3 linked regions of the Cricetulus griseus genome follow. The main gene of each other region encodes a partner of the protein of the gene in region 2 in a complex. Links are inferred from orthologs where the notes say so. Each region holds a gene or a part of one and is shown on either strand. Other genes may lie near its edges.

The links.
Region 1: Gtf2h4 (region 2) and Polr2b share a complex: the UniProt entries of both Homo sapiens proteins name them as parts of the TBP-based Pol II pre-initiation complex. The link is inferred for Cricetulus griseus from reciprocal best matches to the Homo sapiens genes GTF2H4 and POLR2B.
Region 3: Gtf2h4 (region 2) and Gtf2a1 share a complex: the UniProt entries of both Homo sapiens proteins name them as parts of the TBP-based Pol II pre-initiation complex. The link is inferred for Cricetulus griseus from reciprocal best matches to the Homo sapiens genes GTF2H4 and GTF2A1.

Annotation. Positions count from the first base shown.
Region 1 is NW_023276807.1:143,689,818-143,699,769, forward strand, and holds the start of Polr2b (DNA-directed RNA polymerase II subunit RPB2), read left to right. Parts: upstream 1-4,420; 5' UTR 4,421-4,595; coding exon 4,596-4,614; intron 4,615-8,699; coding exon 8,700-8,772; intron 8,773-9,952. Other genes in the region: Noa1 (nitric oxide-associated protein 1), read right to left, coding at 164-369, 1,472-1,636, 2,868-4,008. UniProt on the Homo sapiens protein: Catalytic core component of RNA polymerase II (Pol II), a DNA-dependent RNA polymerase which synthesizes mRNA precursors and many functional non-coding RNAs using the four ribonucleoside triphosphates as substrates.
Region 2 is NW_023276806.1:229,574,880-229,584,772, reverse strand, and holds Gtf2h4 (general transcription factor IIH subunit 4), read left to right. Parts: upstream 1-4,421; 5' UTR 4,422-4,590; intron 4,591-5,277; 5' UTR 5,278-5,280; coding exon 5,281-5,420; intron 5,421-5,661; coding exon 5,662-5,766; intron 5,767-6,344; coding exon 6,345-6,476; intron 6,477-6,666; coding exon 6,667-6,763; intron 6,764-6,847; coding exon 6,848-6,936; intron 6,937-7,099; coding exon 7,100-7,211; intron 7,212-7,343; coding exon 7,344-7,412; intron 7,413-7,574; coding exon 7,575-7,658; intron 7,659-7,858; coding exon 7,859-7,991; intron 7,992-8,163; coding exon 8,164-8,294; intron 8,295-8,459; coding exon 8,460-8,507; intron 8,508-8,652; coding exon 8,653-8,731; intron 8,732-9,189; coding exon 9,190-9,362; 3' UTR 9,363-9,483; downstream 9,484-9,893. Other genes in the region: Vars2 (valine--tRNA ligase, mitochondrial), read left to right, coding at 9,889-9,893. UniProt on the Homo sapiens protein: Component of the general transcription and DNA repair factor IIH (TFIIH) core complex, which is involved in general and transcription-coupled nucleotide excision repair (NER) of damaged DNA and, when complexed to CAK, in RNA transcription by RNA polymerase II.
Region 3 is NC_048598.1:113,313,248-113,322,701, forward strand, and holds the start of Gtf2a1 (transcription initiation factor IIA subunit 1), read left to right. Parts: upstream 1-217; 5' UTR 218-638; coding exon 639-668; intron 669-3,505; coding exon 3,506-3,607; intron 3,608-9,454. UniProt on the Homo sapiens protein: TFIIA is a component of the transcription machinery of RNA polymerase II and plays an important role in transcriptional activation. TFIIA in a complex with TBP mediates transcriptional activity.

The sequences.
Region 1 (9,952 bases), on a different chromosome or scaffold from region 2:
TGTAGCTTTGGAGCCTATCCTGGCACTCGCTCTGGAGACCAGGCTGGCTTCGAACTCACAGAGATCTATCTGCCTGCCTCTGCCTCTCGAGTGCTGGGATTAAAGGCGTGCACCACCAATGCCCGGCTATAGTACGTATTTCTAAAAGAAACTAAATACATACACAGTTTTCTTTTGTAATCCCAGGGGTGTCATAAAACCAGTGGGCATCTTTCACATCCTCTGGGGTCAGTTCTACTTGTTTGGTACACTGGTGCACGGCCACAACAGGTTCATTTCCCATGTCAAAGGCCAATGAGTCAGCATCAAATTCAAAGGGAACGTCTTCCGTCTGTTCTGTGGAGTGCGAGAATGTTCTTCCAACTCTTCCTAGAACAAATTAAACCGAGTTCTCAGACATCCCTCCAATGCTTTGATTCTGGGGCATACGAAACATTTTGAGATGGGTTCTCTGTACATAGTTCAAGACGGAGTTAAACTTGTGATTTTTCTATAGTCAGAGGCGACAGATCTCTCTCTCTCTCTCTCTCTCTCTCACACACACACACACACACACACTTGTATTTTGGCAAAGATCTCATGTAGTCCAGTCTTGCCTCAAAATCACCATGGAACTGAGTTTTTTTTTTTTTTTTTTTAGAATATATATATGTGTGTGTTTTCTTTTTTTTTTAAAACATTTTATTTATTATTTATTTATTATGCATACAACATTCTGCTTCCATGTATATCTGCACACACCATAAGAGGGCACCAGATCTCATAACGGATGGTTGTGAGCCACCATGTGGTTGCTGGGAATTGAACTCAGACCCTTGGAAGAGCAGTTGGTGCTCTTAACCTCTGAGCCATCTCTCCAGGCCTGGAACTGAGGTTTTTTAAAACTCCCAAGTATTGGGATTACAGGTGAGTACCTGACACCCTGAAGACCTCTCTACCTCAGAGATAGGGTCTCATTATGTAGCCCTGGCTGTCCTGGAACTCTCTATGAGACCAGAATGGCCTTGAACTCAGAGATCCACTTGCTTCTGCCTCCCAAGTGCTGGGACTAAAGGTAAGGCCCTGAAGCCACCTTTTATGATTGCTTTAAATAAGCCACTAAAGTTACGTGTATAAATATGAAACTGTGGCTATGATGATGCTTTTGTCGTCTTTGTGGAAGATAACACGAGTCATTCTCTTGCACGGTCAGTTGTGTTTCAGACAAATAGTGTTAGAAATCCTTCTTTCCCATTAATGGACTCAGAAGAGAGATACAAAGGAGATGGACAAGTTAGCTAAAGACCTTTACTGCCTCTGCTAGTTTGGGTTTCCAAGCAACAGTAACCTTTCCTACAAAAAGCCTATATTCCAGAACAGGGAAGGAAGTCTCTTCCTGTAAAAAAATGGTTAGTCCCAATGGCCGCACTGCAAGTCTAAACAACTTTATCATGGAACCGGTAAGACTTTTCCTAAGTTGGAAGATGCATACCTATCTTGTAAGCATGCTTTTTCAGTTGATTGAGCTGGCTTTGTTCTTCCTCACTAAGATCTTCTTCTGCTTTGGTTGCCTCTTCTTTAAGCCTTTTTTGTCTTCTGAACATTCTGTAGGGAGTTGGGTTGCAAATTGGAAACTTCAGGAGGTTTAATGTAGTACCTGAAATACCAAGAATAAGGGTTTCAAAAAAAGAATATGAAAGAAGAAAAGCAAATGTTTCTGGTTTATTTCATTTAGCCTTCATGACAACCATTATGTAATTATTTCTACTTTACAAACGAGGAAATAGGCCTAGTGACTGGTTCACAGGCTAACTCGGAATTTGGGTACAAATTTTGCAGGTGTGTTTTACCCCCGATTTCACCATTTATCCTCCAGTACATCTAGGGTTGTACGACTGACCATAGGCAGTTTTAAGTATGAAAGACCAAAACTCTGGTTTCAAGGGGACACATTTCTGTCAAGCTAATTCCTAAGACTGTAACTCTCCATATACATACGTTTCCCCCTAGCTTCTTCCTTCAGAGAGGCTCCTGAAATGCATCCTCAGGCTCTGCCTGCCCAGCGTTCTGATGACAGACAGGCAGATGGAAACACCACGCCAAGCTATTTGTTTCTTTATCTCAGAACACTAACATTTCTTCTCAAGAAATTTCCACGTCATAGCACATCAACTCTTTCATATGTTTAGTCTAACATTCCAAGAATAAATACATTCAAGGGTGAAGAAAGAAGGGTCTTAGGAGTAAGAAGAACACAGATGCTTTTTTTTTCTTTTAAATAGACAGGGGCTTATGGATCTACCTCACAATAGCCTCCAGCTATGTAGCCAAGAATGGTTTGGTGTTCTCCGGATCCACTTGTCTCCACTTCCCAAGTGCTGGGGACACAAGGGCTTGCCACCACACCTCGTTTGTGCTGTACTGCAGACTAACTCAGGCTTCCTGCATGATAGTCAAGCACTTTAGCAACCAAGCTTTATCCCCAGCCCCTCTAGAAATATTTTTTCTTTTTTTTTTAAAGAGTTTATTTATTTATTATGTATACAACATCCTGCTTCCATGTATATCTGCACACCAGAAAAGGGCACCAGGTCTCATAACAGATGGTTGTGAGCCACCATGTGGTTGCTGGAAATTGAACTCAGGACCTCTGGAAGAACAGTCGTTGCTCTTAACCTCTGAGCCATCTCTCCAGCCCTAGGAACATTTCTATTAGAAAATCAACCGTATTGAATTTCTAAGCACTAAACTGTCGCAAGAGGTATGAGCAAAGTGGGGAGAGAAGAAATTTAAAGGGAGAGCCCCAGGTAGTTCAAGGTGGACATTTAAGGGTAGATGTAGTACTAGGTGCCTGGGTCAAGTCTGATTTCTCAACAGCGGGGCCTCACCTGGCCAGGGGGAGATGGTGGCCCTGTCGATGGCTTCGGAGCCCTTGGCGGTGCAGTAATCAGACTCCAGGAGTGTGTTAAAGAGAGTGGACTTGCCGGCATTCGTGGTGCCCACCAGGTAGACGTCGCCGCGGTAGCGCCAGGAGCGCTGAAGTGCAGAGATCAGTTCTTCAACTCCGTAGCCGGTCTTGGCGCTGATCAACCGGACGTCCTTGATCACGGTGCTGGACCTGGTCGACGGATTCGGATTCTTTTTCTCGTCCCGAGGGTCATCGCCGGTGGGGTACTGCGGTCCTCGGTGGCCAGGTGCCATCACGAGCCCAGCGCGGATGCAGTCGTCCCACAGCCGCTTCCGCAGCCGCTGCAAGTAGCCGGGTGCGTCTTGGGGCAGCAGGTCCACTTTGTTCCCCAGCACGAAGACCTGCTTGGGGCCCACCAGCTTGGGCAGGTCGGGCAGCAGGGCGTCCGGCAGGTCGAGCAGGTCCACCATATAGAGCACCAGAGCGGGTTCCGGCCGCCGCAGCGCGGCGCTCACCAGCTCCAGGTACTGCTCTCGACTCACCCGCAGGCGCAGGGCACGTCGATGGTGCACCAGGAGCCAGCAGCGTTGGCACACGGTCCGCGCCCGTCCGCCGTCCGCCTGGGTCACACCGCGGAACTTCTCCTCCGTCAGGTAGCCGGGCAGGCTGGGGTGCTGGCAGTGCAGCTCGGCCCCGCAGCCCGAGCAGTAGATGCCGCTGGGTGGCACCGTGGCTTCTGGAAGCTCGGGGACCTGCAGACTCCGGAGACCCGCCCGCAGCTTCCGCTGAAGCCGCTCCTCCCGCCGCTGCAACCTCTGTCGCTCCTCATCCTGCTGCCGCTGATGCAACTCCCGCAACTCTCTCAGCAGTTCCTCAGGGTCCCGCTCCGGGACGTACTCCGGGAACAGAAAGCGCTCCTCCGTGTCGGGGCCTTCTTCATAGTCCTCGGTCGCCGTGGAGCCTGGAGGCAGACGGCGGCCCAGGGATGATGGGCTCTGGGAGAAAGCGGCTTCGCGCTTCCCCGCCAGGAGCCGCCGGGCAGGGCCATGGCACGCTGCGGCAGGCGCCGGGCCCCGCAGGAACCCGCACAGCAGCCTGCAAGCCTGCAAGCCAGGCAGCATGCGGACGGCCGTGAGGTGGGCGGAGCCTCGGGCGCGCACCCGTGCGCGTGTCCGGAAATCAGGGACGAGAGGCGAGGGAACTGTCCAACGGCGTGACTAACCCTGGCTTTCTCGCGATGAAGGCTCCGAGACCCGAGAGTTCACCCCGCTGTGCAAAGGCGCGCACTAGAGCTGGGTGGGCAGGAGATGATCGTGGGTGCTCTGCCTACACCCAGAGCTTTTCTTTCATAAATCCCCTTTACGCCAATCAAGCGTCATCTGTGCAACAACTCTACAAGAACACGCAACAAGAAACTACGTTAACCGGGTCCAACTTCCGGCCTAAAGAGCGGTCCTCAGCGGTAGCCGAGCGACCCAAAATCTGCACTTGCGCAGTTCAAGCCCCCGCCAGGCTCGGCCGGCCGTTTGCGCAGGCGCAGATCTCACACGATTCCCCCCCCCCGCTCCCCCGCCCCACTTAGACGCCGAGGATTCTGGGAACGCCGGAGACGGAAATTGCTTGTTCTTACTCTCCAGAGTTTGCCGCTGCAGTTTTCGCCTCCAGCTTTGTGAATTCGAGTTAAGAGGACCAGAAACCTTTGGCCAAGATGTATGACGCCGACGAGGGTAGGTGACCACGTGAGACACGCCTCGCGGTAGCCTCTTAGGCGGTACGGCGGGGGAACCTGCAGGGATGGAGGACCTGCGCCAGCAACCCCATCCCGGCCGGGACGCGCGCCCCGCAGCCCTGTTCTCACGCGCTGGACTTGCTGGCTGTGTAGGCTCGGGAAACCTAGGATTCACGTTCCCGGGTCAGGTCGATTGCTCCCTGCGTGGCCTCCTGTTAAACCTGCTGTCACCTTCCAGGAACGACAGTGTGCAAGTGCTTATTAACGTTCGGGTGTTTTGACGTTGATTGGTTTCCTTTGCACCCCAGTCAACTTGCTGAATAGCTAGGTATTTTTTTTTTTTTTAATACTGTCACAGAGGATTGGATCCAGGTCCTGCACGTACTCTACTCTTGAGCCATTATTCCTAGTCCCGGGTAGCTCAATTTTCGACCACGTCCTGTTATACCCTGGAAATATTAAGGATAAAGAATGAGTTCTGGGTTGACATTCCTTCACACTGTCTTCAGTTAAAGTAAATGCCTTAAAAGATGGCCTTTTAGTAGTCTCTTACCATGAGATGACATAGTCCTTGCTGTGTATGTATTTCATTTCACAAGGACATGCCTAGTCACTTTTCATAGGCACACTTCAGGTTTTCTTTTTTTGTTTTTCGAGACAGGTTTGGAACTCAGTCAGAGATCCTCCTACTTCTGCCTCCTGAATGCTGTAATTAAATGAGCCACCACCGCTGGGCCTCATGTTGTATTTTTTTTTTTAAAGCTCCCTCTTTACTTCTGTGTTCCAGCTTCCAACTTTATGGCCATCCTACTCAGACACAACAAAAGCTTCAACTTTTAAAATTTCTTAAACGTCTCAATTGTATTCATATCTCATGGAACTCTATTAAAATCGTTATATTCTTTTAAATTACTCTTACTTGAAGGAAATGCAGAAACTTTAAGACTTTTATAGCATCTATTTATTTTGTATGTATGTATCAGGGTGCACACATGGAGCATACCCTATAGATGCTGGGTTTGAACTCAGATCCTCAGCTATGTGACAATCATCTTTACCCATTGAGCCATTTCACCAGCCCTAAGAATGTTTCTAGTTTCCATCTCAGGACCTCTGTGACCCATTATAATCTGATTTTGCTAATGCTCCTATGTTAAAACAGCTTTTTCTGAGTGGTCTGTGATTTCTTACTTGATAAATTAGATAGATGCTTCAAGACTTACTTAGATCAGTTGTTGTAGCTCACAGAAGGCCAAATGTGGAGGATTATCTTTAAATTGGAGACCCAAAACCAACCAACCAGATAAAACATCATTCACCCACCCAACTCTCACCTATTTCTGTGCTATTCAAAATTGTTCACGATTTCCTCTTGAAAACTACTCATCTACTCTGCTACATCACTTCCACTTGACTGTTACCGTTTCTTTTACTCATTACTGTTGTTTACATTCTCCCTGGGTGATCTAATCCAGTCTTTTTTTTTTTTTTTTTTTTTTTCAAGACAGGGTTCTCTGTGTAGCTTTGGAGCCTATTCTGGTACACAGTCTGTAGACTAGGCTGGCCTCGAACTCACAGAGATCCGCTTGTCTCTGCCTCCCGAGTGCTGGGATTAAAGGCATATGCCACCAACGCCTGGCGATCTAATCCATTATTCATACTTGAATTTACTGGATGACTTGAATACATTTTTGTTTATTTTTTTCTTTTCCCTTTTGGTTTTTCGAGACAGGGTTTCTCTGTCCTAGCTGTCCTGGAACTAGCTCTGTAGACTTGGCTGGCTTCCAACTCTCAGAGATCCCCTACCTCTGCCTCCTAAGTGCTAGGATTAAAGGCTTGTGCCACCACTGCCCAACCAAATTTTTGTTTCTTTAGACATGGTCTTGACTATGTGCATTACATAAGCTGGCATTGAACTACTGGCAGTTCTCTTACCTCAGTCTCTCATGTGCTGGGATTATAGGCATGAGCTAATATGCCCTGCTGTATTTCCAATTTAGTTGTCCTGCATATCTATCTCTTACTAGATAACTGGGAGATCTGTTAGGTTCCCTAAACTCTACTGTTGACTCAACTCACTTTATCCGTATCCATTTTTCTTACACACACACACACACACACACACACACACACACACACACACACACAGAGGAAATATATCTGATACTGTTTGAGAGTGTGTCTCAAAAAATGTGAATGTGTGTGCACTGCTTGTCTATATGTGTATGTCCTGTCTCAGCCTTCCCTGTGCTGTGATTACAGGTGTGTGCCTGGCTTTTTTACATGGGTGCTGGAGCTCTGAACTCAGTCTTCATGCTTGCACAGTAAAGCGCTTTGCCATCTGAGCTATCTCCCCAGTACCCTACATTGCCTTTTCTTGATTAGATTATACTATGCTATCTTCATTATGATGTCTTTTGGACAGGAGCCATCTTCACTCCTCCCATATTCACTGACTCATTTTTGCCTGGTCTACTCCTGTTTTCAGTTTTTGGGATGACTTATTTTCTTGGGGTCCTGGTTAGGAATGTTCATATTACTCTGTCTTTGTTGATTTCAACTTGTTTGTATTTCCTCAATAGATGATAATCTCTGTAATAGTGCAACCGTCTTTATCCTGTAAAGGATGACGACTTCTAGTGCCTGGGCCATAGTAAATGCTCATAGTCAATAAATGTTTGATGAATGAATTAATGTTCTTCTTTAATTCATTTTCTTATTTTCCTTTACGTGATTTGTTTTTTCTTTCTTGAGGCAGCTTCTTACTATGCATTCTTAGTTGGCCTGTAGCATGCTATGAAGGCAGGGCTGGTATCCAACTCCCAGACATCTATCTGTTTGCCTCTGTCCCCCAAGTGCTGAGACTAAAGGCATATGCCACCACACACAGCTTTACATGACTCTTAAACAGAAATGTCCCTTAATATCCTGACTTTAGTCTTCTTTCTCTGCATATACTTTCCTTATTTTTTGCTAATTTGCTGATGACTCCAACTTTCCATGTAGTATGGAATTTTTCCCCTTGGTGTCTGGGATTGACTGCAGGGCCTTGTCCATGCTATGCAACACTAGCACTGGGCCACATCTCCAGTCTAGTGTGAAAGTTTTTTTTTGAGTATCATGTTCCTTTTAAAAGTATCTAAAGAGTAAAATACGCTCTACATAAATATGTAGGGCCACCCTTATCATTTCCCCCCTTTTTTCTTCTTTGAATTTACTTCTACATGGCAGTGATATTAAATACTTCAGTACTTACAAAGCTAGAAACCACTGCTGATTTACATACCATTGTTTTTTCCATGTCATTCTAGAACATTCCAGAAGCATGTATTAAAATTACTTTGAATGTATATCAGATTTCTGAATAGAAAGCTCTTAAGCTTTATAGGCTAATTGTATAGTTCAAACTAAAAAAATAAAGTACAACAAACATTCTATCATAAATTTTTAAGGATACATTTTTTTTTAAATTAATGTTGCTGTACAATAGTAATTACTAATCCTTACCTATAGGGAGAGGGATAAAACAAATTTCGTTACCTAAAAAAATTTTCATGGTGGTTGGAGAGATGGTTTAGCAGTTAAGAGTGCTTGCTCCTGGAGTCTAGAAGTCCCAGGTTGGGTTCTCAGCACACATATTAGGCAACTTACAGTTCCTTATAACTCCAGCTCAACGGTGTCTGATGCTCTCTTTTGGCCTCCGTAGACACCTGCACGCATGTGCATGCATGCACACACATATAATTAAAAATAAATGTTTATGAAGGGCTGGGATATAGCTTAGTGTTAGAGCTCTTGCCCAGCATGTGTGAGACCATAGATTTAATTCCCAGCACCTCATAAAACAAACAGACAAAAAAAGATCATGAGATTTGTTGGGAGAATATTAGGAGTTTTTTAGCTACAGTTCAGGGCTTCAGAGCAAACAAGTCAGAACTGCATTGCATTTTCTGACTACATCATAAAACCATGTGACCTCATTCTAACAGCATCCTTTATTTACTGGAGAGTTGAAAATTACCTAAATTCAAGGAGAGGATGTGGCATCTTATTGCCAGTGAGCAGAGTGTTTTGTTTTTGCAGATATGCAATATGATGAGGATGATGATGAAATCACTCCAGATTTGTGGCAAGAAGCATGCTGGATTGTGATCAGGTAACTTTAGACCAAACAGAACATGTTTTAGTAGATACTATAAGATGTGAGGGATGTCCTGTTGTTACTCTGTTCCTTATAGGTAGATCTCAGCCTTCTCTGTGCTTACTTAATGTACTTACCTTGTATTAGTTACTTACAGGGTTGCTTTGTTTTATCCAGACAGTACTGTGTGCAGCTTTGGATACTATAGATTGGGCTGGCTTTCAGTTTGCAGCACTCTTGCTTCAGCCTCCTGAGTGCTGTGATTGTAGGTGTGCATTGCCATATCTGGCTTATATTTATTTATTTAAAATATTTCCATCTTAGAGAAAAGCTAAGGAATTAATTTATGTTCGTCATTGGAACCCCTAAATATTTATCTTATGCTGCTGCTGCTGCTGCTGCTGCTGCTTCTTCTTCTTCTTCTTCTTCTTCTTCTTCTTCTTCTTCTTCTTCTTCTTCTTCTTCTTCTTCTTCTTCTTCTTCTTTCTTCTTCTTCTTCTTCTTCTTCTTCTTCTTCTTCTTCTTCTTCTTCTTCTTCTTCTTCTTCTTCTTCTTCTTTTTAGACAGGGTTTCTCTGTGAAATAGCCCTGACTGTCCCGGGAATTTGATTTGTAGACCAAGCTGGTCTTCAACTCACAGAGATCCACCTGCTTCTGCTTCCTGAATGCTGGGATTAAAGGTGTGTGCCATCACACCTGACCTACCTTTTCTTTTTTTTTTTCTCTTCCTGTGCATAGCCCCCTGGAAACATTGGAGAGTATGTAGCAGATACTTTTACATAGTCACAGTTTAGAAATTAATATTTATACAATAATGTTATTATTTTTTAAATTTATTTTATGTATACCAGTGTTCTATCTGCATGTATGCCTTTATGCCAGAAGGGGGCATCAGATCCCACTATATGGATAGTTTGAGCCACCATGTGGTTGCTGGAAGAGCAGCCAGTACTCTTAACCACTGAGCCATCTCTCCAGCTTCCAGTACTCTTATTTAACCTACAGAATCTATCCACAGTTTGCTAGTTTTCTCATTTATTTTTATAGCAAAACAGATTTTTTTTTCTCTCATCCTGGACCTAGGGCTATCTATTGGAATTTATTTTTGTGAATTACATTTTTGAGACAGGGTCTCATTGTGTAGGCCAGCCTGACGTGGAACTTGCTGCCTCAATTCTGAGTGTTGCACATTTTGT
Region 2 (9,893 bases):
GGCTGACGATATTCACAAAGTGAGCAGAGTGGATAATGAGAGGACAACAGTAAAGCTAATTAAATCTGAGGTTGAATTACTGGGCTCTCAGGGCCCAGGTCACACATCTAACAGTCTCGTTAAAGCTACGGAGGTCAGACTACTGCCTTAAGATTAAAACAGACATTGATGGGTTAGAGTTCAGAGGTCAGACTTTAGAATAATAAGCAATGGAATTCCTGGCAGGGAGCCATAGCTCCCAGAGCTCTGTGCCCAGACTTGCTCTAAGTAAGCTTTAGAATGCTGTAACTCTAGGTTCCTGTGGCGCTCAGACCAGCGTGTCCAAACCTGCCCTTTTCCCACAGTTGTAGCAGCAGCCACTCTGGAGGATGAGTCCAGTCCAGCAGGAAGCTCATAGGTCTGCCTGCCAGATCTTTGTTCTTTCTCGACATTTCCATTGCCCTGGCACATGCCGAAACGCAGACATCTCCTAACTAGTCTCCCAGGACTGCTTCTGTCGATCTCTGGTTTGTTTTCAGTTCTGCCACCACGGTGACCTTTGTTTGGAGTCTGGATCTTATGGTCTTAAATAGCCCAGACTTTGTCTCAAACTTGCTGTGGAACAGGGGACCACCTGGAACCGATGCCTCTGGCTTCACCTCCTAGGTGCTGGAATTGCAGGCGCACAGCACCACACCTGGTCCTCTGTGGCGTGCATTTTTTAAATTATTGCATTTGTTTATTTAGTGTGTGCATGCATGTGTGTGGAGCTGTGTATGCATTGCCACAGTGTGTGTGTGTGTGTGTGTGTGTGTGTGTGTGTAGAATTTGGTTCTCTAGTTCCATCATGTCAGTCCTGGGTGTAACACTCAGGTGTGGTGGCAACTGCTTTTACCTCTGAGCCATTTCACTCATCCCTTTATCACATCTTGCTTATTTTATGTATATATGTGTATTTTATATGATGATGATGATGGTTACCATGCTGGGGGTTGAACCCAGGGCCTGGACACACTAAGCGAGCACTCTACCTCTGACCTATACTCCTAGTCCTTTTTCTGGATCCTGCTGTTGCTTCGTTCAGGCCGGGTTTCACTGAGTAGCCACAGCTGGCCTGGCTGCCTATGTAGATGAGGTTGTCCTTGAGCACAGAGACCTGTGGGCCTCTGCCTCCTGAGCTCACACACATTGTGTGTGCCACCATGCCCGGCTGTTGTTTGCTAGCAGGATCTCACTACTAAAAGTCCTCCTGCCTCAGTCTCCTGAATGCTTATATTCGAAGCGTTTTCCACCAAGTCCATCTCTGATTGATTTTTTTTTTCAAACAAAGACAGGGTTTCTATGTAGTTTTTTGGAGCCTATCAGGCTGGCCTTGAACTCACAGAGATCCGCCTGCCTCTGCCTCCTGAGTGCTGGGATTAAAGGCGTGCACCACCAATGCTCGGCTTCTGATTGATTTTTTAAGAACAGAACCTTGTCCAAGGCTGGCTGTCCTGTTCAGCACACTCTCCTGCGTACAATACTGTCCTTTCCGTTTCCCCGAGGCCACAGACCTCCCCCTGGCATGTGGCCTCTGCAGCGTGCTGTTGTCCTGGAACAGTGTTCTCTGTTTTTTGTTTTTTTTTCTTGTGTTGCCAGCCCTTCAACAATCTCATCTGGACAGGTCAGCTCTCCAGTGTTGCTCTTCAGCCCATGGATCTCTTCTTAGTTCCCTTGCATGCCCTATTTCACATGTATTTATGTGTGTGGGTCCCTACGACATGTCTCTCCTCGGCTGTGAGATTGTAAGCTGCAAAACGGCCAATTTAAGGAACACAGGGCTTAATTCATTTAAAAAATTTCAAGGGCTAACATAAAAAGTATAGAGTTAGGGAAGCATCATTAGGTTCTCTCTCTGTCTCTCTGTCTCTCTCTCTCTAAGACAGATTGAAGATCTCAGTCTGTGCTCCGTGTAGCCTCCTCTCCTGAATTCTGCAAAGCAGAGTCAAGTTGAACCACCCCCATGGCTTTCACCTTATCCATCGAGGCAGGGTTTCCCATTCACCCCGAGTTCTCTGATAGGGATAGTTTTCTAGACAGCTGCTTTGAGAATCCCATCTCATACAGGCGGGTGGCTACTCCCAATATTTTATGTGGGTTGTGGGGGCTGAACTCTGGTTCTCTTACACTTGCATGGCTAGTGCCTTTGGTCACTTAGTCACCTTCCCAGCCTACCTTCCATGTATGTATATATCAAAGTTTCTTGTGGGCTGTTCAAGCCACTTAGTAATTCGCATTTCTCCCTCTGCTGATGAGTAGGTAGGGTGTAGTTCAAGGCCTTAGTATACATATGACCCCTCCTTTATCAGGGTTGCCCAGCCTTCCACTTTGTTGGGATGATTTGTGTTATATCTAACCAGCTGCTGACACAGACTGGTGAGCCTTTGCCATTGGGTTCAGGAAGTGTCTTTGTTATCTCTGCATCTAATCTATTCTATGGATGAAGATTTCAGCATGATACAATTCTGTATTTCTTTTTTAGGTTTTTCGAGACAGGGTTTCTCCGTAAAACATCATTGGCTATTCTGGAACTTGCTTTTGTAGACTAGGCTGGCATCAAACTCACAGAGATCTGCCTGTGTTTGCCTCATGTGTTTTGGGTTTAAAGACATATGCCAAGACACACGACTTGAATGACGCAATTCTAATGGTGGCTTTACTGGGTCAAAGAATAATCATATTAAAATTGCTTGTAGAAGCTGGGGTGGCAATGCTTGCCTGTAATCTCAGCTCTCCAGAAATGGAGGCAGTAAGATCAGAAGTTTGCAGCTTGCCGGGTTTTTGGTTTTGTTTCTTTAGACAGATTCTCTTTACGGCTGTCTTGCAACTCTCTATGTAGGACAGCCTGGCCTTGAATTTACAGAAATCTGCATGCTTCTGCCTCCTGAGTGCTGGGATTAAAGTTGTGCTCCACCACCACTCCTGACCCTCCTGCCTCCACCTATCCACCCAGTGCCGGATTACAGGCTCATAACGCCACACTTAGCTTTGGTTTTTTTTCTTCCTTTTCTTTTCTTTTTTTAAAAATACTTTATTTAACTTTATTTTATGTGCATTGGTGTAAGGATACAAGATCCCCTGGTACTGGAGTTACAGACAGGTGTGAGCTGTCATGTGGGTGCTCGGAATAGAACCCGGATCCCCTGGAAGAGCAGACACTGCTCTTAACCACTAAGCCATCTCTCCAGCCCCCTTTTCTTTTCTTTAAGATTTTATTGTTTCTTATCTAGCCGGGCGTTGGTGGCACACTTCTTTAATCTCAGCACTCAGGAGGAAGAGGCAGGTGGATCTCTGTGAGTTTGTGGCCAGCCTGGTCTCCAGAGTGAATGCCAGGATAGGCTCCAAAGCTACACAGAGAGACCCTGTCTCAAAAAAAAAAAAAAGATTTTATTGTTTCTTTCAGTTGCTTTTGTTCTTTAGCTTATTTGTTTGTTTGTTTATTTATTTATTTATTTATTTATTTTTTAAAAAAAGGTTTTCTCTGTAGCTTTAAAGCTTGTCCCAGAACTCACTCAGTAGACCAGGCTGGCCTCCAACTCACAGAAATCCATCCACCTGTCTCTGCCTCCTGAGTGCTGGGATTAAAGGCATGCGCCACCACCGCCCAGCTCAGATTTCTTATTCTTGTTGGGTTTGGTATTCTGTGATATAAGAATAACAGAATTTAAACTGGGCAGTGGTGGCACCGCCTTTAATCCCAGCACTTGAGAGGCAGAGGCAGGTGGATCTGAGTTCGAGGCCAGCCTGGTCTACAGAACGAGTTCCAGGACATCCAGGGTTACACAGAGAAACCCAGGGATACACAGAAACAAAAAGCAAACACCAGAATTTGCCCCATAAGAATTGGGGAAACTATAGTTGACCTTAGTTGATGCCTTTCATTAACTGTCCTTTCTCCCAGTAAATTCATAAATAAGAGTAAACCGCAGCTTTCTTTTTAAAATTGTAATGGAGTCTTCTAACTTCTTGGGAGTTGGAAGGGCCGTGGAGGAAGAGATTAAGACTGAGCATTTAGTAGCCAAATAAGGGCGAACTGGACTGTGTTAATCCCTGCCTCGTGCAAATGCTGTGCATGAGAAATATCAGAGGTCTAGAAACCCAGGTTTGAGGTCTCTAAATCTAACGCACCACCCCTGAGCAGCCGTGGGTGCGCCTCCTGTGTGGGCGGGACAGAGAGACTCGCTTTAGTTGCTAGGGAAAGAGAGATGCGGAACCAAATTATCTGTCTTAGGGTGTTCTTGGGGGAATCCAATGAAAAGCCAGCTTCTCTCAGTTGGTCTTCCATGCTGTGCCTTTCGGGAATTGTAGTCAAACCTTCCTTGCGTTGCTCCGATGGAGTCGAGGAGAGGACTACAATTCCCACCATGCCAAGCGGCAGGCGAGTGCATCACTTATTCTCATCCCCTTTACTCTTCACACTTAACCCTGCTCTCCCTTCCCATTGGACTGGTTTTTGCCTGGCTCCTGTCTGTGAAAGACTTCCTGGTTCTCCCACCGTTTTTTCTCGTCTTTTTATTTCCAGAAGCCAATGCGAGACATTGGCTCTGATTAAGCGACGGCTCGTGACCCGGGGTACGCAAGGGAGATCCGAGCGGTAGGGGCTGTGAGAGGGCGTGAAGTTGGCGTGAAAGGAAAGCCAGGGGGAAGTGCGGAGCTTGCACCGCGTGGTCTCAGTGAGAAGGGTGAAGCTGGCTTGGAGGGAAAGGGATAGAAAGGGATTTAGATTGGTGAGCATGGAGGTAATTTATAGCCCTGTCTTGACAGATTAGGAACTTGTAGACTGATCCGACCAGGAGGGTGGAGGAGAGAAAGAGAAGGCTGTGTTCAAATTAGCATCTTTGTCACTGCTTAGATGAATCTGGGGCGTCGTTGATAATGCAAAAACAATTTTGCAAGTATGGAACAATAAATGATGTTGTCCCTTGTCCACACTGGTGAGGATCTGGATTTGGTCCTCAGGACCGTACACAAAGAAGGAAAATCCCACCAGTTGGAGACTGAGAGAAGATTGAACTTTAGAAGAGAAGCGGGATGAAAGGCCAGCTATGTTACGTTCCTGCAATCCCAGAAAGTTCAAAGTGATCCTGAGGGGCTTGATGAAGGAGCAGGAACATGCGGGGTTTGGGAGCAATAGGTGACGAGTGGTACCAGAGAGGAAAGGTATAGAACTGATGGGTTAGAGTGGACCGGATAGGTCTGGAGTCAGAGTGACACTGGCCTGGATTGTGGGGGTGTACCTCTGACTTGTGTACCTCTCAGGTGATGGAGATCACCCCTGCAAGGGGTGGACTGAACCGAGCACACCTACAATGCAGGAATCTACAGGAGTTCCTAGGGGGCCTGAGCCCCGGGGTGCTTGACCGCTTGTATGGGCACCCAGCCACTTGCCTGGCTGTCTTCAGGTGAGGAGCCCTTCAAAGCGAGGACCGTGGTTTGGAGACTGTAACGGGCTCTGCAGAGTGGAGTTAGTTACTCATGGGGAGAGGCTTAGCCTAGTGTGACTACCAGCCTGTTAGAGATTACTCCAAAGTGTGGCAATCTAAAACGAGGTGGGAGATGGGGTGAGATGCCTGAGAGGCAAAAGAGGGCAGAGGTGCAGGCGTGAGGCAGCTTCTGGTAACATTTGGCCTCTGACCTTTACAGGGAGCTCCCTTCTTTGGCTAAGAATTGGGTGATGCGGATGCTTTTTCTGGAGCAGCCTTTGCCACAGGCTGCGGTGGCCCTGTGGGTGAAGAAAGAGTTCAGCAAGTGAGTCCCAAGTACAGCCTGCTGCCCGGTGGCTGCATTCTCAGACTGCACATCCACGACTCACACAGGATCTAGGATCAAACCTAGGGCGTCTCAACAGTCTCTGCTCTACACAGGGAACACCCCCCCCCCCAGAGTATACTTGCAGTGTTTCCCCTTTTAGAGAGTTGTGATTTTCTGTAACTAACTAGTTGTATGCTAACAAAAAAAAAATTGAAAAGACAAAAGAAAATGAAAAAACAGCTCCAGAAGTTGGGAGGTAGAGACAGGAAGATCAGAAATTCAAGGGCTACATGGTAAGTTTGAGGCTGTCTGAGACTTCATAGGACCCTTTTGAAAGAAAAAGAAAAAAAAAAAAAAAAAGGAGGGGGATTGACTTAGAAAACAAAACAGAGAGAAACAATAATAAAAACAACGAACTAGGCTCCATTTAGCATTGTAGTACAGGCATCTGATATAAGAAAACACAGCTGCACCCTGGAACACTGTTCCAAGGACCACCAGTTTAGGTAGAAATGGAGCCCCCTGGAGGTCTCCTTTCTGCTTGTGACCTGCCCCTCACCTCTGCTTCTGTCCAGGGCTCAGGAGGAAAGCACAGGACTGCTCAGTGGTCTCCGAATTTGGCACACCCAGCTGCTCCCTGGTGGACTCCAGGGCCTCATCCTCAATCCCATCTTCCGCCAGAACCTCCGAATCGCCCTTCTGGGTGGGTATGTAGTTTCCCTCTCTTCCTGAGCTAGGCCAGGGGAACTGCTGACTACAGGGATGGGGGGGGGGAGCTCCTTCAAAAGTGCATTGGACCAGGTGTAGGTGTAGGGTGTAGAAAGTGTCCCCTTCTCATGGCCTGTGGGGAAGCAGGAAGCAGACAGGGCTCCTTACTCCTGCCCATTCTGGCCACAGGGGCAAGGCCTGGTCTGATGACACAAGTCAGCTGGGACCAGACAAGCATGCCCGGGACGTCCCCTCACTTGACAAGTATGCTGAGGAGCGTTGGGAGGTGAGGATCCGGCCCCTGTGTGCCTCCGCTGGGCCCCCATTCCCGGGAGCCCTTGAGACCCCTGTCTGATCCTTTCTTCTCTAGGTGGTCCTGCACTTCATGGTGGGCTCTCCCAGTGCAGCTGTCAGCCAGGACCTGGCTCAGCTCCTCAGCCAGGCTGGGCTCATGAAAAGGTGAGGAGGGGAGGGCACAGCCACTCGGGTCTCAAATAAAGTGGGTGCCTGGGGTTAGGAGGGAGTGAAGGGAGTTGGGTAGGGAAAGAGGTTTGAATAGGTGTAACCAGAAACGGGTAGCCCTTCTGTGCATGTCGCTACCGTCGCCTCTCTCCATTTCTAGTGCTGAACCTGGAGAGCCACCTTGTATCACTTCTGCTGGCTTCCAGTTCCTGCTGCTGGACACGTCGGCCCAGCTCTGGTACTTCATGCTGCAGTATCTGCAGACCGCCCAGGTACGAGCCAGGGCCTAGGGCAGTGTGCCCGATCTTCTCAGGTCCCACTGAGTCACAACCACCCCAGACTCTGCCCGTCACTGCCTCATCCCCTCTCTCATGTCTCCTTTTGCTCTGCCCCTTTCTCCTCAGAGTCGGGGCATGGACCTGGTAGAGATTCTCTCTTTCCTCTTCCAGCTCAGCTTCTCTACTTTGGGCAAGGTGAGTAGGGGGGTGGAGGACAGGCAGGTAAAGAGACGTCATGGAGAGATAGAATGATCACAGAACTACCTGAGAAGGCAAAAAAAGGGGGAGGGGTGCAGGGGGCTGGGCGGGGAGTGGGAGGACGAGTCACAGCCCCCAGCTGGCCATCTCTTCCCCCAGGACTACTCTGTAGAGGGTATGAGTGATTCTTTGTTGAACTTCCTACAACACCTGCGTGAGTTCGGGCTTGTTTTCCAGAGGAAGGTACGCACACCCAGCCACCTGGCTTTGAGGAGAGTGGGGTGTTGGGGTGCAGCAGAAAGCCCTTGCCAGGCCCGAGTGCTTGGGTCATTTGAGGGGGGGAGTTAAAGGTTGGTGGTTTTGCACTGGGGGATCTGATGTCTAAGAGGAAGCTGTCAGGATGGTGACCTGAGAGAGGACTGTATTTCCCCGTGTCCTTCCAGAGGAAGTCCCGGCGTTACTACCCCACACGCCTGGCCATCAATCTCTCATCCGGTGTCTCTGGGGCCGGGGGCAGTGTGCATCAGCCAGGCTTCATTGTCGTGGAGACCAATTACCGACTGTATGCCTATACTGGTGAGGCTGGAGGTTATGGCCGTGTGTGTGTGTGTGTGTGTGTGTGTGTGTGTGTGTGTGTGTGTGTGTGTGTGGTTTAGGAGCCCTCTGGTATCTCTTCTAACACCTGAGGGCAGGGCTAGAGGAAGGCAGGCATGGGCAGCCTCCTCACGGCTCTTCACCCCTGGGCCAGAGTCGGAGCTACAGATTGCGCTCATCGCACTTTTCTCTGAGATGCTCTACCGGTTCCCCAACATGGTGGTGGCACAGGTGACCCGGGAGAGTGTGCAGCAGGCCATCGCCAGCGGCATCACAGCCCAGCAGGTATCCCTACTTGAAGTGGAGGTCAAGGTGGGAGGAGGTACCCCCGCCATGGGAGCATAGCCTCAGGTCTGTCAGGTCCCCGTGTCTAGGCAAATACAGGAGATGCTGTCGCAGTGGCATTCGGTGACTGCCCTGATGGCTTTCTGCATCCTTGTGTCTTCCCAGATCATCCATTTCCTAAGGACCAGGGCCCATCCGGTGATGCTCAAACAGGTATGGATGGGTACCAGGATGCTGGAGGCTGGCAGCCTGGGCACCCAGCAAGAAGAGGATGGGTGAGAGCGGGTCAGCCAACCCACAGAGACTGCTTTAGGCACTTGCCCTGGGTCCTATAGCTCCGCCCCTTGTCCGCCCGCAGACTCCTGTGCTGCCTCCCACCATTACAGACCAGATCCGGCTGTGGGAGCTGGAAAGGGACAGACTTCGTTTCACGGAAGGTGAGTGGCCTCTGCTGACCTCCTAATCTTGGTCACTGACTAAAGAGGTAAGGTCAGCAACTTGGCCGCGATGAGTGAGAAGGGTCTTGTGCATTTTTTATTCCCTTCCTCCACCCCCACCCCGAGAGGGGGAGAGAAAAGCCCGTCCTTTACTGTGATATATCGGTAGCAGGAACTATGTCCCAAATCGGTGCGGTTTGGATCAAACTAGCCAGGTGAGGGTAGGAGGCAGGGAAATCCAGTCATCTCCCCGGGTAGGTTTGCATGGTTTTTTCTTGTGGTATTCTGTTGTCTTTTCGAACGTCTGGATGCCACGGGTGTTAAGGTTATCCACAGTGATCCGTAGAGAATCCGTTCTTAAAACTGTGGCCTGCTGCCCCAGCGGAGACGCCGCCCAGAGGGGAGGGGCCATGGCCACCGCAGCCCCTCTCACCTCCTGCCCGCCCACCCGACCCCAGGCGTCCTGTATAACCAGTTCCTGTCGCAAGTGGACTTTGAACTGCTGCTGGCCCACGCGCGGGAGCTGGGCGTGCTGGTGTTCGAGAACTCGGCCAAGCGGCTGATGGTGGTGACGCCGGCCGGGCACAGCGACGTCAAGCGCTTTTGGAAGCGGCAGAAGCACAGCTCCTGAGCCGGACCGGCGGACGGGCGAGCGAGCGAGCGAGCGGGCTGGCAGCTTCCCAACTCAGGCGTATTTTGTTTACACACCGGGACATTTCTTGTTTAATAAAATTAACGGAAAAAAAAAATAAGCGGTTCCAGACACCTGCACGCGTTTTCCCATCCGAGGCTGTGGGACCCGGGGAGCCAGTGTCTTGTGCGCACGCGCCGGCGTGTTCCCGCCCCCATGCGCGTGCGCACAGACGGCGGCGTCCCTGCTCACACGCAGGAAGGATCCGCCGCGGAGGTCCAGTTAGGGCCGTGTCGTGGAGGTTTGCGGGGTTCCCTGGTTCCCGATCCCCGGCCTTGTCTTCCGCGTCAGCGCGGGGGTCTCAGTGGCTGCAGAAGGCTGTTGACACCATGCGCTCCGCCCCTAGGCGGGAGGACACAGAGCAGGGGATCCAGCCGGTGGGAGTGAGGCAGCGTGACCTCCCGCACCCCGCGTCCTCCTGAAGCCGACCCCGACCCCGACCCCGACTGCTTCCCAAACACTCCCGATGCC
Region 3 (9,454 bases), on a different chromosome or scaffold from region 2:
AAAAAAAGGCGGCGGCTCGCCTTCTTTTACTCTAGTCCCCGCGGCCCCGCCCACCGGCCCCAGCCCCCGGGGCGAGCGACGCCCCGGCGCGCGTGCGCACGCGGCTCTCGCGGTGTCTCGCGCTCGGCCCCGCCCCCCGCTGCCCCGCCCTTTCCGCCCCTCCGCCTCCGCCCTGTGTCTCGGCGGCAGCGGCGGCGGCGGCGGCGGCTCGCGCAGCTTGTTGGCTCGCTATATAAAGGGGAGAAGCAGGCGGACCGGACGGCTGGAGCTGCAGCCGGTGGCGGCAGCGGCGGCGGCGGCGGCGCTGGGAGCGGTGACCGGTGTTGGTTTCCCTCCGCGGCGCCGAGTGGGGAGCGGGCGACGCCCCCTAACCCCCGAGGGGTCGTGGCTTCTTCTTTTTTTTTTTTTTTTTCTTTTCCTGAGGGCGATTCTCGAGGCTTTTAGCCGCGGGAGGAGTTGCCCCCCCTCCTCCTGCTCTCCCGCCTCTTGACTCCCTCAGGATCGGTTTTGTTGAACAAATTTTCGCCCCACTCTTGCGGGTGACTTGGGTCACCCTCCGGGTCTCTTTTTAAGTTTTTTTTTTTAATTTTTTTTTTTTTTTTAAATCTCGTTCCCTCTTGTTTGTGTTGTGTGTGGAAATGGCGAACTCGGCAAACACAAACACCGTGGTAAGGACGTGGTGCGGTGGCCGGCGGGGGCTGCGAAGGTTCCGGCGGCAGGCAACGGCCGGGGCGGGCGGGGGCGGGCCGGGCGAGGCGGCGCTCCCCACCCGGTTCCCTCCGTCCTCCTCCGCCTCTGCCGCTGCCGCCGCGGGCCTGACCGGGCGGGGGGCGCCGAGGGCTGGCGGGCGGAGGGCGGCGGGGCCGGGAGCGCCGCGGGGGCGGGCCACGCAGGCCGTTGGGCCCTGGCTGCCGACCCCGGGGCGAGGACAGGTGGGCGGCGACCCCCACGCGGGGCCCGGACCCGGCCAGCCCCCGAGCGGAGCGGCCGTGGGTCGGTCGATCCCCCCCCCACGAGCCTGGGGAGCCAGCCGCTCGGACGCTGCCAAGTTCGGCGTGCCTTCGGGGGCTCTCTGGAGGTGGTGCTTTGGAAAGCCTGCGCTGGGGCCGATTTTGCTAATCCTACCCCCCAAAAAAAAACCAGAGGAAAAAAAAAATGAAGGTTGGAAAGCACTTATCTCGGTTCCTCCCCAGTGGGTAAAATGGCGAAGGGGAAGCAAAAAGAAAAAAAAAAAGAAAAAGAAAAAAAACCCGTGGTACCTACGACTAGCAAAAGCACCAGAACAAACAAAGCCTTACAGTGACTGGCCCAAGTGTCCACGCATTCGCCTTGAAATTTGCCTACTTCTTCCCGCCGCTCCCTTTTTTGGTTCCTTGCGATCCACGTAGGTTTGCAAAAAGCAGTCACATAAAGAAATAACCTTTTCAATAGTCACCAACGCAGTGTGATCACTAGGCCACCCCCAACTTGATTTTTTTTAATTATGAAAATAAAACACGTGTTTTTGTTTTATTCTTTTGTTTCTTTTTTTTTTTAATTTTTTTGCCCGGTCCCAAACGCCGCAGAGCAGCTCGCTGCTGCCCGACACCGTACCGTTGGCGACTCGGGTAGATCCATCATGGCTGCGGCCGCTTACCCTGCATTTCAGTGCCTGCGCCTTGTGGTCCTCCTCCCTTTGGCTGCCCTGTTTATATAGAGCCATTGCCGCTCTCTAATATAGACTCTGCCAGGATGGGAAGGTGCTTTTCAGGCCTACGTCACCGCCTCTCCATTTAAACACCAGATCCGGCTTTAAATAGTGAGAGCTGCTGAGCGCGGGGCTGGGAGGTGCGTGCTCCCGAGCGAGAGGCGCCCGCATGCGGAGCTCAATTTATTTCTAGGTTCCCTTCACGCCGAAATTTCGCTTCCGAGCCGGGAAGCTGCTTTCTCGAATCCGCGAGTGTTATTACTGTAACAGCTAGGATATGCCGCCTTTGTTTGTAGTGGGAAGTAGGTCAGAATTGCTGCAGCGTTTTGGCCTTAAAAAAACAAAACAAAACAAACAAAAACCCTTTATATAGAGAGTTTAATGGTAAACCATTTTAGGTGACATAGGGTGATTGTTCTTTTTATCTTCCTTGAAGAGGTGCCTTCAACATTCTCGGCTTATATATATATGTATATGTATATGTATTATTTAAAATGTTTCTCCCGCAGAGGACTTGGGCTTGGCAGTGTTTTGTTCATCAGGTATCCAGGAAATGTTAGAAATCACAGCTTGTAACATTTCATCGTGTTTTCTTAATACAAATCCCCAAGGCACAAAGCTTTTCAAAGAAATAGTGACAGACGCTTACGTGTGAGATCTTATGCCCACAATACATTGAAGTGGAGAGGCATGCCCTGAATTGGATTTTAAGAATTAAAGGTCAGGTGGTGGTTTTAATTGTACCAGGTTAACATGGGGTCCAGCATAAAAATCCACCCCATTTACTTAATACTGTGCTAGAAAATTAGTATTTCCTAAAAGGAACCCTTCAGTGAATCACTGATGATGCCACATGTGGCCTCTCATTTGCTGGTTTCAAAGTTTGGGATACTGTGTTTTGAAAGGACAGATCTAAATGACTTTTATGCAATAAAGACAAAAACTGGCTCAATTTTAGAATTGAAGCATTTCCCTTTTTTCTTTCAACCACAGTGAAACCCGGTTTGTACCTAAGTGTTTGAATCTCTAAGGAGAAGATTTTGGGGGAACTGATTTCTGAAACATGAAAACATCTGTTCTCTTGGAAAAATGTCCTACCAAGTTAAAATTAATATGCCCCGTGTACAGTTTAGTGGAGTGGCTTGAAGGGCTGGGGACAGACAGACAGACAGACAGACAGACAGACAGACAGACACACACACACACACACACACACACAAGTTTTGTATCACTAAATACTGATGAGGCTGCTGGGGATCAGCAGGAACTGACTAGTGAACAAAAAGTTCCCCATGTATGAAATTGGAAAGGGTATGAGATCAGGCAGGGGTTAAACCAAGCATGGGTAGTAGGGACCAGACATGATCATAAATATTAGTCATGAGGTTCCATATTTTGCTCACAGTTAAGGAAATTATAACTGGAATCTGTATAGACTGCCTGTGTATAAAGAACTTTGGTTTATGAACTGCATTGCATAGCTTTGTATTACTATAAGATGTAGTTATCAAATCTAGTTTAATGAGGCCAAATAATGTTTTATGTATTTATGTATTTAAGGATTGGATATTTAATTAAGGATTTTTTCCGGGGTGGGGGGGTTTCAAGGAAGGGTTTGTCTGTGGCTTTGGAGGCTGTCCTGGAACTTGCTCTTGTAGACCAGGCTGGTCTCGAACTCACAGAGATCCACCTGCCTCTGCCTCACCAGTGCTGGGATTAAAGGCATGGGCCACCACTGCCCGGCCTAATTAAGGATTTCTTAAAGCCTGCTAAACTTTCAAAATCAGTCTTTTATTGAATCTTATTTTTCCTTTAAAGCCTAAATTGTACAGATCTGTGATTGAAGATGTTATTAATGATGTTCGAGACATCTTTCTGGACGATGGAGTGGATGAACAAGTCCTGATGGAACTGAAAACTGTGAGTTTTGTTTGTCTCTTTAGAAAAACACATTTCCGTAGTCATTAGTAAGTCACTTTTCTATAGGATGACTGATGTTAAGCAGAGATGCTGTAGTCTAGTAAACAGTACTGATTTTAAACCCCAGCTGTGCCAACTATTCTTCCTCTGACTGTGGGCAGAGAAATTGCATTTCAGTTTCTTTCCCTTTAAGATAGGAATTGGTAATAAAGACTTCTTAGATGGTTGTTCTCAGGATTAAATGTGATAAATCAGAGAATACCTATCAAAATGTCTAATAATAGCTTTACTTATTCACAGGTAGTGTTTTATGGTCCAATTACTTGGCATGTCAGTAACAGTTTTTTACATTTTTTTGTAGTCTTAACTCTATTTGTATTCTACAATTTGTTTATATTAGAGGGATTGAATAAATGCTTGATAAAAGAATTTAGGTATTAGAGTCAAGTCCTTTGTGTGCCAAATGCTTTATTTGTTATTTATTAAACACTGAGAGCTAGTTTTTCTCTTAAATTGATGCAGAAATACTTAGATTTTTAAAATGTCATTTGTGGGGACTGAAGGGATGGTCCAGTCTCTGGCTGTTCTTCCCAGAGGAACAGGGTTCAGTTCACATGGTGGCTTACAACAGTGTGCAACTACAGTTCCAGGAGATGCCCTCTTCTGGCCTTCACAGGCATCAGGGCACAAGTGGTACACAAACATTCATGCAGGCAAAACACTTGAAAAAGATAGCCATTGTGTTTTCCTGGGATAGAATGACATGAAACTGTGGAGTATTTTTCTACTGGTTGAACTAAATACCCAAGTTTGAAAATTTCATAGTTATTTATTCTTTAATTTAAAAGTTGTATCAAAACAAAGCAAAACAAACAAACAAACAAAACAATGGTTGGGGAAATGACTCATTGAGTGGTTGCTCTTAAAATTAAGAGGACCTGGGTTCAGATCTCCAGCACCACATAAAAGCCAGGCATGGCCATATGTGCCCGTCACCCAGTAGTTGGGGGATGGAGACATCGGGATCCCAGGAGCTCACTGGCTGGCCTGAAACTTGGAGCTCCAGGTTTTAGTGAGAGACCTGTCCCTAGGCAAAGGTGGAAAGTGATGGGAGGAAAACTTTACATCCTCTGAAGGCTCCACATGCATGCATACAAAAGTTGTCCAGTGAGAAGCCAGTGGTCAAGTTTCAATGAGATGAGTAATGCTAACTGGAGAGAAATGTAAATTTATTAATGCTTAAGGGTGCAAGTATTAGAATACCTCCTCTGAAGCAGGAGTTGGAACAGCATGGAAAAGTTTAAAGTACCTAAGTTCCACGAAGAGTAGGTAAACAGCATGATCCTTAGTTTACCAGGGAGTGTTTTACACTTTTCTGTAATGACTGGTTGTTCTTACACTTCTGTGACTTTATGTAGAAGATAAAATTTCCAAAGGTGTGGAAATGAGCCCTAAAGACTTTAATTGATTTGTAGTAGGGGTCAATCCAGGATCTTTATTTGCTCTGATTTTGTAAGTTACAGTCTGGAGAATTCAGTGTTCCAACTGGTTCCCATAACTGTAAGGCATTCTGTTCAGAGAAACTGAGTTGTCTTGGAGAAATTAAATAATTTTATTTTCATGTTTCTTACATTTGAAAGTGACTCACTCAATTTTTAATTTTCAGTTTCTACCATAATACCTGGCATGTGCAGCTGGCACTCAGTTAAAAATTTTCTGAACTGGTTAATGGCAGATGTGGCTTCAGAATCTTAACAATGCTATTTTTGTTGCTGTTAAGTGGGGCATACTCTCATGTCTTGGGTTGTAATAAGAGTTAAAGCTGTTGGACCAGAATGAACTTAATTCTCTGCACTAAATTTTTTCAGACCCTCATTAGCATTTTCAGAAGGTGCCCTAGATTTAACAGTTGGACACTGGCCCTGTCCAGGGATGGCTTTCTACTTTGATGGAAATGGTCTGTGTCTGTCGTCTGCTGCATGGTAGTCATTAGCCACATGTGGCTGTTAGGCATTTGGAATGTGATTAGAGGAACCGGCAATACATTTTTTATTAATTTTACTTAATTTAAAGTTAAATGACTGCATGTGGCTAGTGATTACTGCATTGAGCTATACAGATTTTCTTGTTAACAAGGTTAACATCCATTGTATATTTTATGATTTATAATGGACTAATGGACTTTGATTTTGTACTATCCTTTCTCCTTTTAAACTGTTTAACAGATTATCAGACTGTTGTTAAGGCAATCAGATACAGTGGTAAATTAGATTATGCACTGAGGTGCATGGTGAGAAAGCCTGTAATTTAAAGTTTAACTAAATACTGCAAGTAATGTCATGATTTAAAATGAAAAAAAAAAATCAGCTGGGTATTGGTGGCTCATGCCTTTAATCCCAACACTCTCGGGAGGCAGAGGCAGGTGGATCTCTGTGAGTTCGAGACCAGCCTGGTCTACAAGAGCTAGTAACAGGACAGCATCCAAAGCCACAGAGAAACCCAGTCTTGAAAAACCAAAAAAAAAAAAAAAAAAAAATCAGCCCACCTATTGGGATCATTTCCAAATTGTTAAAGAGCTCACTTTGATGTGTGAACTATGGGAGGTAGGAGAGACAGAAGATATAGTTGATAAACTTGTATTTAAGTGGATTGTGGATCGGCAAGTAAATGGGTGGGAGTAACACTAGAAATTTTTGTCAAAGTGAACAATAGCAACTCAGGGGAAAGTAAGAAAGAGAATCTGCACAAATTTGAGGCCAACCTAGTCTGCATAGTGCTAGGTCAGTTAGGGCTGCATAGTGAGACTGTCTAAAACAGAAACAAAGCAAAACAAACAAAAACCTATCAAACCAAAGAACCTGTAAAATCAAAACCCTGTTCTTTCTCTGCCTGTCTGCCTGCCTTCCTTCCTTCCTTTCTTCTTTCTTTCTTTCTTCCTCCCCTCCCATCCCTTCCCCCAATAAAACTTTCCACAAAACAACAACAACAAAAAAATAAAAACCTAAAGTAAATGATTAGTAAATGATTAAAAACAATTTGTCAGACCTGCTTATATCTAAATAGCAAGGACAACTTGAAATATAAACAAAACTTTCCCCCCCTGCCATTGCTGGAGATAAAACATAGAGCCTTGTGCATTTCTGGCCAATGTTCTGTCTCCGAGCCACATACCTATGTATGCCTCTGCTGATAAAATAGATTCCTCAGTTAGAGAGTCTGAAAATTCAGGTTATATGTGTCTCTAGTTTAGTGCCTCAGCTTTGGTGCTTTTGACATACACGTTGACATGATTGGTTGGCTGTTGCATATAGGATGTTAGCAGAGAAGTGACTTCTGCTCACTGGATGCCGGTAGCACTTTTTGTTGTGTTCAGAAATGTCTGTATTGCTAATCTCCCTAAGAAAGTAGTAGCAAAATCACCCCAAATTGAGAAGCAGTTTTCTAAACATACCCTAATAACCCCTAGATAAGGCGATCTACTCATATAAGTGTCTAGACTATAAATTGAATAATTACCTACTCTTTGACAAGAGCATTGCTGGCTAGTAGTAGTGGAAATGTGAACCATCTGTGTGCTAAGCTAACAGGCGTACTTCCACATTTCTACCACCTTTAGCTAAGTCAAACCGAGAACTACCCGTTCTCCAGCAGGATGATGCTGGGCTAGAAATTTTAAACAACTCTCCTGGTTCCACAAAATTCCTAGCTTCTGGATAAAGTGTACAACTCATTTCGTTTCAGAGCTTCCAAACACTGTTAGGGAACTTAGCTTCCCCAAGTAGCCAATGAAATAGAAAGTAGATGAAGTTAACAGTGTGGTTAGATCAGAAGCGTGGATTAGAGCCAGCATTAGGGAGAGACAGCATTAGGGAGAGGCCAGTGAAGTGCCCAGGGTACAGTATTGAGAGACACTGAAACGAGATTTCTGGGTGGTAATTACCCTATTTTTGCCTTCTGTTGTTTGTTGATCTTGAATAACTTGCCTGACTTCTTGTTCTTCAGGTTGTTCTTCTCTAAAGAAGCAGGTGATAATGTCTACGCATGTACTTACTGTAGAATACTAAATAAGCTTCAGTTATTAAACCCAGTAGCACATACAGTTATATACCTCTGTCTTTTGTGAACAGAAATTCAATTTTCATGTCAGTTTTAGATACCTAGGCAAAAAATGCTGAAGTGTGGGTATCCTGGAATTAATAGTTTACTTGTGGGGAAGGGAGTAAATAGAAATAAAGTAAAAGGGCTCCTCCAATTTTCTAAGCATAAGAAATATTTAACAATTTAGTATTGCTAATTTCATCACTATTAATATAGTTACTATTGTCAAAACAATATAACCTTGTTTTAACAGCTGATATTTAGAACCTGGAACTTTGTGATACAGTTGAAATTGTACTGAAGTGAAATTGAAGGGCTGGAGAGATGGCTCAGCAGTTAAGAGCATTTGCTGCTTACAGAGAACCTGGGTTCAATTTCCAGTGTCCACATGGAGGCTCCCAATCATCCATAACTCCCATTTTCCAGGAAATTCAATGCTTTCTGACTTCTGTGGATATCAGATACAGACATACATGCAGGCAAAACAGTTGTACACAAATCTTTTTTTTTTTTTAAAAAATGAAGATAAGATATAAACATTGAATAAATCAAATTTTACTTGAAGGTATAAGCTTGGTGCTTAGTTATATGGTATTATTTTTGTATTTGTTAAGTTACTAGAGCACTTAACCATGATAGCTAAGGCCTGATTCCTTGATTGGCTAGTTCAACCCCTGCAAAACTTTTGGTACTATGTGGGATCATGTTCATTTAGGAGGCAAGAACTAGGAATGTTGCGTTTCCCGTGGGACCATCCCGAATGATACAGACATACTCTGCCTAAAATGCCAGTAGAATGCTATACAGAAAATAGAAAATAATAGATTATGTTTCCAATTTTGTTTGATGTTAATGCTAAGTAGCTGTTAAATTCTTAGTTATCTGTAAGGTCCTGAATAAAGTAGTCTCCTCATGAAGGAGTTCATTAAAAAATAGAACTATTTCTAATATGCATAGGGGGTGACTGCAATATCCTCCCCAATTTTGGAGCCCTGGCTGGCCTTGAACTCACAGATCCACCTACCTCTATTTCCCAAGTGCTATGGATTAAAGACATGGCACCACCATGCCCAGCCTAAGTGACTGCTCTTCTTTGAGGCAATGGGACTCTGATGTTTCATTTTAGAAGACTGCAGAGTAAAAGCAATGGAATAGTCTCAGGTTATTTCACTGAAAGTAGTTATTACTATAAGAAATAAAAGTACAAGTTAGAGTAGCAGCCAGTCTATGGCAAATAGGACACCCTAAGCTTCTACTCCACTAAATGGGGTGGGTAATTGTACAGGACCAAGCTGCTGTTTTTTAAAAGAAGTTCCCCTTATCTATGATTATGTGTTTTTTGCTTCCATGTATGGCTGCACCATTTGTGTGCTTTGGAGCTTGTGGAGGCTGGAAAAGGGCATTGGGTCCCTAGGAACTAGGGTTATAGACTATTGGGAGATGCCATATGGGTGCTGGGAATTGAGCCTGGGTCCTGGAATAGCAGAAGGGCATCTAACTACTGATCTTTCTCTCCAACCCCTGATCTTATTTTTTGAGGTTTTGGTTACCTTCTGTGAGAAAATTAATCCTGTTAACTGTGCAGAATATAATGTTTAAGTTCGGTGCACATTGTATAACAAATAAACAATTTCTTTTGTTGCATTTCCCTTTCCATTTGGTTTTCATAAAAAATTCAATATTGACTTTTTTTGACCCACTAATGGGTTTCAATCCTCATTGAAGAGGATTGGTTTAGACTTTAATACA